2 linked regions of the Callithrix jacchus genome follow. The protein of the gene in region 1 purifies or fractionates together with the protein of each later gene. This does not show direct contact. Links are inferred from orthologs where the notes say so. Each region holds a gene or a part of one and is shown on either strand. Other genes may lie near its edges.

Evidence for each region. Proteins that work in one complex are often made in the same cells at the same time.
Region 2: the proteins of GPN1 (region 1) and POLR2E purify together in Homo sapiens (affinity purification with mass spectrometry; 3 studies listed by BioGRID and IntAct, with this or other methods). This does not show direct contact. The link is inferred for Callithrix jacchus from reciprocal best matches to the Homo sapiens genes GPN1 and POLR2E.

Annotation. Positions count from the first base shown.
Region 1 is NC_133515.1:87,399,823-87,403,470, reverse strand, and holds part of GPN1 (GPN-loop GTPase 1), read left to right. Parts: intron 1-193; coding exon 194-233; intron 234-1,285; exon of another isoform or gene 1,286-1,392; intron 1,393-1,650; coding exon 1,651-1,741; intron 1,742-3,648. UniProt on the Homo sapiens protein: Small GTPase required for proper nuclear import of RNA polymerase II (RNAPII). May act at an RNAP assembly step prior to nuclear import.
Region 2 is NC_133523.1:1,033,671-1,037,318, forward strand, and holds part of POLR2E (DNA-directed RNA polymerases I, II, and III subunit RPABC1), read right to left. Parts: intron 2,606-3,648; coding exon 2,490-2,605; intron 1,681-2,489; coding exon 1,600-1,680; intron 712-1,599; coding exon 653-711; intron 536-652; coding exon 457-535; intron 232-456; coding exon 166-231; 3' UTR 151-165; intron 1-150. UniProt on the Homo sapiens protein: DNA-dependent RNA polymerase catalyzes the transcription of DNA into RNA using the four ribonucleoside triphosphates as substrates.

The DNA of each region.
Region 1 (3,648 bases):
CCTAGTTCCAAGGTGGGAGCAAGCACCTTGGCTTTTAATTCCGTTAGGTAGACTCTGTCAGTGACTAAGATTTGTTACTTCTGATATATTATTATTATCAGAATACTAGAAAAATAGAGGAGATAAGGGGCAGTGGTGAGTGGTTAGGATTGATGATTAAACAGTGGAATTTAGAAAGTGTTTCTCTTTGCAGGGAGTATCGGCCTGAATATGAACGTCTGAAAAAATCTCTGGTAAGAAGGGAAGCCATTTGTATATTTTAAAAGGGACATTAAAAAAACCAGCTCAATCCTGATGACATAAGGGCTTTTGTTTTGGTTATTAATGTTTCTTTTATTTAATTAAAAAACTTTCTGTGGCTTTACTGAGGTATAATTGGCTAATGAAGTTTCCTGTATCTTATAAATACTTGTTAATTTAAATTTGTAAATTTGTATGTATGTTGTCTGGGTACAGAAAGGCTCCTTAATTTTTCTTCCTTTTCAGAGGTCAATTTAAAGCTAGTTGTAGAATTTTGTTTAAGAATATATTGCCAGGCGCGGTGGCTGAAGCCTGTAATCCCAGCACTTTGGGAGGCTGAGGCGGGTGGATCACGAGGTCAAGAGATTGAGACCATCCTGGTCAACATGGTGAAACCCTGTCTCTACTAAAAATACAAAAAATTAGCTGGGCATGGTGGCGCGTGCCTGTAATCCCAGCTACTCAGGAGGCTGAGGCAGGAGAATTGCCTGAACCCAGGAGGCGGAGGTTGCGGTGAGCTGAGATGGCGCAATTGCACTCCAGCCTGGGTAACAAGAGTGAAACTCCGTCTCAAAAAAAAAAGAATATAGTGGTGGTTCACAACTCCTTTTTCTGTTAGTGAGAAAGGATCTCAGTCTGTTGCCCAGGCTGGAGTGCAATGGCACAATCATGGCTCACTGCAGCCTCAACCTGCTGGGCTTAAGTGATCCTCCCATCTCAACCACCTGAGTAGCTAGGACAGCATGTGTGTACCACATCCCTGGCTAATTTTATTTTGTATATTTTTTGCACAGACAGGTCTTGCTATGTTGCCCAGGCTGGTCTCAAATTCCTGAGCTTCTGTGATCCTCTCCTCTGGGCCTCCTGTAGTGCTGGATTACAGGCATGAGCCACCACACCCAGCCTTCTCTTATCGCAAATGATCAAGTGTCCTGCTTCCCTAGGCTCGTTGTGTCCTGTGTCTCTGAGCCTTCCTGTTATTTCTACTTCAGAGTTTTGTGTTTTTTCCCCATATAATAAAGTTTATTGTATCTTTTTTTTTTCATTTTGTAGCCTGGGGATGAATAAAAAGTAATGCTTTCTATCTAGGCATTTTCCCTAGCCCGTTTATATGTTCCAGATCCACCCTGGACTCAACTCAATAGTTTGGAATTGAGGGTTCTTTTGAAATGTTTTTGTGTTCAGTTTCTGAATCCTTTAAATCAGTGTGTAGAGCCCTCCAGTCTGAACTTCTGCTGTAACCCAGGTTTATGCTGCTTAGTGTTTCTCTCCTGATACCAGATGTCCCTTATCTGCATCAGTTTTTATGTAGCCTCTGTATGTGTATAATTCTTCATCTCCACTGAGAAGTCTGGCATCTAATTTGGGGCTCCTTTTTGAATATGATGACATTTTTCTCTGTATATACAGGCAAATGCAGAAAGCCAACATCAGAGAGAACAACTAGAACGCCTTCGAAAAGATATGGGTTCTGTAGCCTTGGACACAGGGACTGCCAAAGGTATTGGAGGTCTTCTTGGTGTTAGGAACTAAAAAAAGGTTACATTTATTTCTACTCAGCAGGATTCTATTTATGTATGAGAGAGAAAAAGATAAAGGAAATATGGTTTTAGACATATATATATATACACACACACACACACAACACATATGCATACATATATATTAAAAATAAAGGATTTGGAGAGGCAAACAACTAGAAATTTTATACAGCTATACCACTTTGGATTCCTCTTTCAGGAAGTTTTTGCTTTACTCTGGCAATACACTTAATATGTGCTGTGGGGTTGTTTGTTTGTTTCTAACACTTTTAATCCTCCCCAATTTTTAAATTTTTTTCATTAAAAAAAATTTTTTTTGAGTTGGAGTCTCGCTCTGTCACCCAGGCTGGAATGCAGTGGCACGATCTCGGCTCCCTGCAACCTCTGTCTTCTGGGTTCAAGCAATTTTCCTGCCTCTCCTGAGTAGCTGGGACTACAGGTGTGTGCCACCATGTCTGGCTAGTTTTAACATTTTTAATAGAGATGAAGTCTCATGATGTTGTCCAGGCTGGTCTTGAACTCTTGGCCTCAAGCAGCCCTCCTGCCTTGACCTCCCAAAGTGTTGGGATTATAGGCATGAGCTACTGTCCCCAGCCCACTTTTTTTTTTCTTTAACTTGCTTTGGTGAGCAAGGACTATTTACTTTTATGACTGTACCATGTTGTTTTTTTTTTTTTTGAGACGGAGTTTCGCTGTTGTTACTCAGACTGGAGTGCAATGGCTTGATCTCGGCTCACCGCAACCTCCGCCTTCTGGGTTCAAGCAGTTCTCCTGCCTCAGTCTCCTGAGTAGCTGGGACTACAGGTGCGCACCACCATGCCCAGCTAATTTTTGTATTTTTAGTAGAGACGGGGTTTCACCTTGTTGACCAGGATGGTCTCGATCTCTTGACCTCGTGATCCACCCACCTCGGCCTCCCAAAGTGCTGGGATTGCAGGCGTGAGCCACTGCGCCCGGCACCATGTTGTTTTAATTATGTAATTATGTTCAATATCTGCTAGGTCACATTCTCCTCATAATTTTTATTTGGTTGTCCTTACATAGTCTTCCACATGAACTGAGTATCAACTTTAGTCCCCTAAAAAGCTTTTTGGTATTTTTGTTGGGATTATATTATATTCATAGTTAATTTAGGGAGAAGTGACATCTCTATGATGTTCAGTCTTGTTACCCAAGACCATGGAGTGTCTTTGTATTTGTCAGGTCTACTTGTATCTTTCAAGAATGTTTATGGTTTTCCTCATGGTGGTTTTCCGTATTTCTTTTTAAACCATTTTTGTTATTTTAGCCAACCTTTTTGACCAAGAGTTTTTGCCTGTTTGTTTTTAATTTTTTTTTAAACAATTCATTTTTATTTGAGACAGGGTCTTGCTTTGTTACCCAGACTGGAGTGTAGTGGTGTGATCTTGGCTCACTGCAGCCTCTGCCTCCTGGTTTCAGGCTATTCTCCTGCCTCAGCCTCCCTAGTAGCTGGAACTATAGGTGCCTGCCATCATGCCTGGCTAAATTTTGTATTTTTAGTGGAGATGAGCTTTTGCCATGTTACCCAGGTTGTACTTGACCTCCTGGGCTCAAGTGATTTGCCCACCTCAGCCACTTAAAGTGCTGAGATTACAAGTGTGAGCCACTGCATCCAGCTTGAAATTTATGTATGAATGTATGTTTGCTGTGTATTTATTTTTGAGGCAGAATCTAGCTCTGTTGCTAGAGTGCAATGGTGCAATCTTGGCTCACTGCAACCTCTGCCTCCTGGGTTCAAGTGATTGTCGTGCCTCAGCCTCCCAAGTAGCTGGGACTACAGGCTCGCGCCAACACGCCTGGCTAATTTTTGCATTTTTAGTAGAGGCAGAGTTTCTCCATGTTGGTG
Region 2 (3,648 bases), on another chromosome or scaffold:
GGGGAACAGTACCATGGCTCCCTCCCAGGAACAGGGCCCCAGGAGCTGCAGCCGGGTGCGGGCTGGGGTGCCCTGATGGCCCAGCACTGGGTGGGGCCTGCTGGGTGGACAAAGCCAGAACACCCCCACATCTGACCCCACAGCTGGTACCTGTCCAGGTGGCGGCTACTGCACCAGCCGGTAGGTGATGTACCTGCCAGCTGTCTCGCTGGGCCGGATGATCTTCACCACCTGTGGGGGCAGGAGCGCAGGGGCTGAGGCCTCACTACGGGCAGTGGGCAGCACACCAGCTGGGGAGGGCCCACAGGGGCCCGAGATGCTGACCCTGGGAACCTGGGGTCATGCTGTTCTCTGGGCCCAGTGTCAAGGAGGGGGCTGTTGGAGGGGACAGCAGCCCCTGCCGACTAGTGGTCAGCACAGAGCCCCCCCCCAGGGCCCCTTCCCCTGAAGGCTTACCTGTCCACGCTTTATCCCGAAATATCGAGCCACGGGGTCCCCTGCCTGGATCCTGGGCAGCTGGTTCTCTCGGAGCTTACTGGGAAGCAGGGTCAGGAAAACGCCGGGTGGAGTCATGGGGTAGGGGTGGGGGTGGGGGGATGTGGAAATCCAGAGGCACAGGTGGGGCAGAGGCCAGCGGGGCTGGAAAGGATACTATCGGGCCAGCAGCTCCGTCACTTCCTCCTTGGTCATGACGACATGCTCAGGGACCAGCTGGTGAGAGAGAAGGCCAGCAGACATCACCAAGGGCTGGGCCAGACCCCATGGGGCTCCCAGGTACTACCACCCGGCACTCAGAGCCTATCCTGCCCCACCCCAGCTCCACAGGCAGGGGTGGAGTCTGCAGGGGCACAGCTCCTGGAGCTTCTGAAGTAGATGGGCTGGGACACCGTCACCTCCTTTAAAGGAACGCGGCCAAAGTCAGACCTGGCTAAGCCCCACTCTGGGCTGAGTGCAAAGTGTGGCAGCTGACATGGCAACACCTCTGGCGTGGGTCAGGGTCAGCTGGGAGGCCCTCAGCACGGGCTGCTGCTGTCCAGCTCCTGGGACTCGACCCAGACTCCTGCTGGGTCAGTGGCACTAGGGTCCCTCCACACGCACCACAGTCCCTGTTCCATAGGCTGGGACGGGCCTGGGACCCTGCATCTTTTTTCCTTCTGAGACAGAGCTTTGCTCTGTCACCCAGGCTGGAGTGCAGTGGCGAGATCTCAGCTCACTGCAACCTCCTCCTCTCAGCTTTGAGAGGAGCTAAGATTACAGGCATGTGCCACCACGCCCAGCTATTTTTTTGTATTTTAGTAGAAACAAGATTTCACCATCTTGGCCAGGCTGGTCTTGAACTCCTGACCTTGTCATCCACCCACCTTGGCCTCCCCAAGTGCTGGGATTACAGGCCTGAGTCACCGATCCCAGCGGGATCCTGCATTTCTAGGAAGTTCTCGGGTTCAGCTGCTGCGGGCCCAGGGCCACCCTGTGAGGACCCTGCCTTCCATGTGCTAGCAGGAGTGCCAGCCCGAGCCCCGTATCCCACATCTTCCTGGCCACCTGCCAATCCTGCATCTCTGGGACCCCACAGGCGGGGCTCCGGGGCAGGGCACCCACCTCATGCTCTGTGATGTTGATGAGCAACTCCTGCTGTAGAAACTGCTCCAGGATGTACTTGGGAGCCATGTCAACCAGAGACTGGGAGAGAGAGAGACTCAGACACAGCCAGGAGGGGCCCTGACAACCCCAGCTCCATTTCCTGCCTCAGGCTACAGGCGGCTTACTCGCGTGCCAACAACACACCCCATGTCGTAAATCAGAACCCCCACCGCCAGCCCAGGGGCCTTCAAAAACCCACCCCTCCCCAGCCTCTCTGCTCATCCCAAGGGCCTCCTGTCACAAGCAGTAATGAGGCTGTGTTTCCACCCGTCAGACACTTCCACGGGCAGCCCTCAAGTGGGCACAGCGACCTCTTCCCAATACAGAGGCGCTGCTTTGTGTGGCTTTGTGAACCCAAAACCCAGTGGGCCAGAGACCAAGCTGCTCCACTGACTGCCTGTCGCAACACGGCTGCCTGGCTCACGGTGCCTGACAGACAGACGGGGGACATGGAGGTTCAGGAGTGTCCAACAGACAGATGGGGGACACGACAGGCCTCCTCAGCACATCCCGCTGGACATCAGCTCAAGAAAGAGTCTCTGGGTCCTGAAGGGTGCACCAGGCCAAGGGCTGGAGCCCACAGAGCTGGAGAGAGAGGCAAGGTGCCCTCTGCTCTGATGCCCTCCTGAGAGCCAGGGGAGGATGGCAGCTGCCTGGGATGGGGATGGGGTTCAGCACTGTGGCCCATGGACAGGGTGGGAGACAGTCGGGGCTTGCCAAACATCCGGCCACATCCTCCAGGGCACCCTGGCTGGCGTGGCCCAAGGCATGTGGGCCGCCTGCTGGCACCACCCAGGGGAGGCTGGGGAGGGTGAGAGGCTGGTGGGGGCTGGGGGTGGGGCGCTCACCTGCTTGGCAGAGGGCGTCATGCCCTGCTGCACCACGATGAGGGCGCGGGTGATGTTCTCCTCCTGCATGCGCTGGCAGTACACCTTGATGGTCTTGATGCCCACCTTGGGCTCCTCTGTGGACAGTATGCCGGCCTGTACCACCCTGGGCCCTCTTGGCCCTTGCCCACCTGGACCCCAGAGCACCCGGTTCCAGCACCCTCAGTACAGAATGCCTGTGTTCCAGTCCCACTCAGCACAGAGCGCCCGGGTCCCAGCCCCACTCAGCGCAGAGCGCCCGGGTCCCAGCCCCACTCAGCGCAGAGCGCCCGGGTCCCAGCCCCACTCAGCGCAGAGCGCCCGGGTCCCAGCCCCACTCAGCGCAGAGCACCTGAGTCCTAGCTCCGCTCAGCACAGGTGCTTCTCCCACTTGGGCCTCAGTTTCCACATTTGCAAAACGTGGCCTGAGTTGCAGAATCCTAGGACTGGGGAAGAGAGGGTTGATACCTCCCATTCACCAAGAGACGAGGACAGGGGCCTGACACCCCTCAGTCACCCAGTGACCAGGGAGTGAGGCAGAGACCCTTGACACTGAGCAGCTCCCACCCTGGGAACTTCTGGGGAGGCAGGTGACTCGGTACCAACCTCTCCAACAAGCACATGTCACACCCCAGGACACTTTAAGAAGCGTCACTGGAGGCCGGGCACAGTGACTCACTACGGTAATCCCAGCCCTTTGGGAGGCCAAGGCAGGTGGATCAATTGGGGCCAGAAGTCCAAGACTACCCTAACCAACATGGTGAAACCCGGTCTCTATTAATACAAAAAAACCTAGCCAGCCGAGGTGGGGTACGACTGCAATGCTAGCGTAACAGACTGAAGTGGGAGAATCACTTTAACCCTGGAGGCAGAGGTTGCAGTGAGCTGAGATTGCTCCACCACACACACACTCCAGCCTGGGTGACAGCAAAACTCCATCTCAAAACAAAAATGAAAAAAAAAAAAAAAAAAACAGGGTGCACTGGCTCACACCTGTAATCCCAGCACTTTGGGAGGCCAAGGAATGTGGATCACCTTAAGTTGGGAGTTCAAGACCGGCCTGACCAACACAGAGAAACCCTGTCTCTATTAAAAATACAAAATTAGCCGGATGTGGTGACAGGTGCCTGTAGTCCCAGCT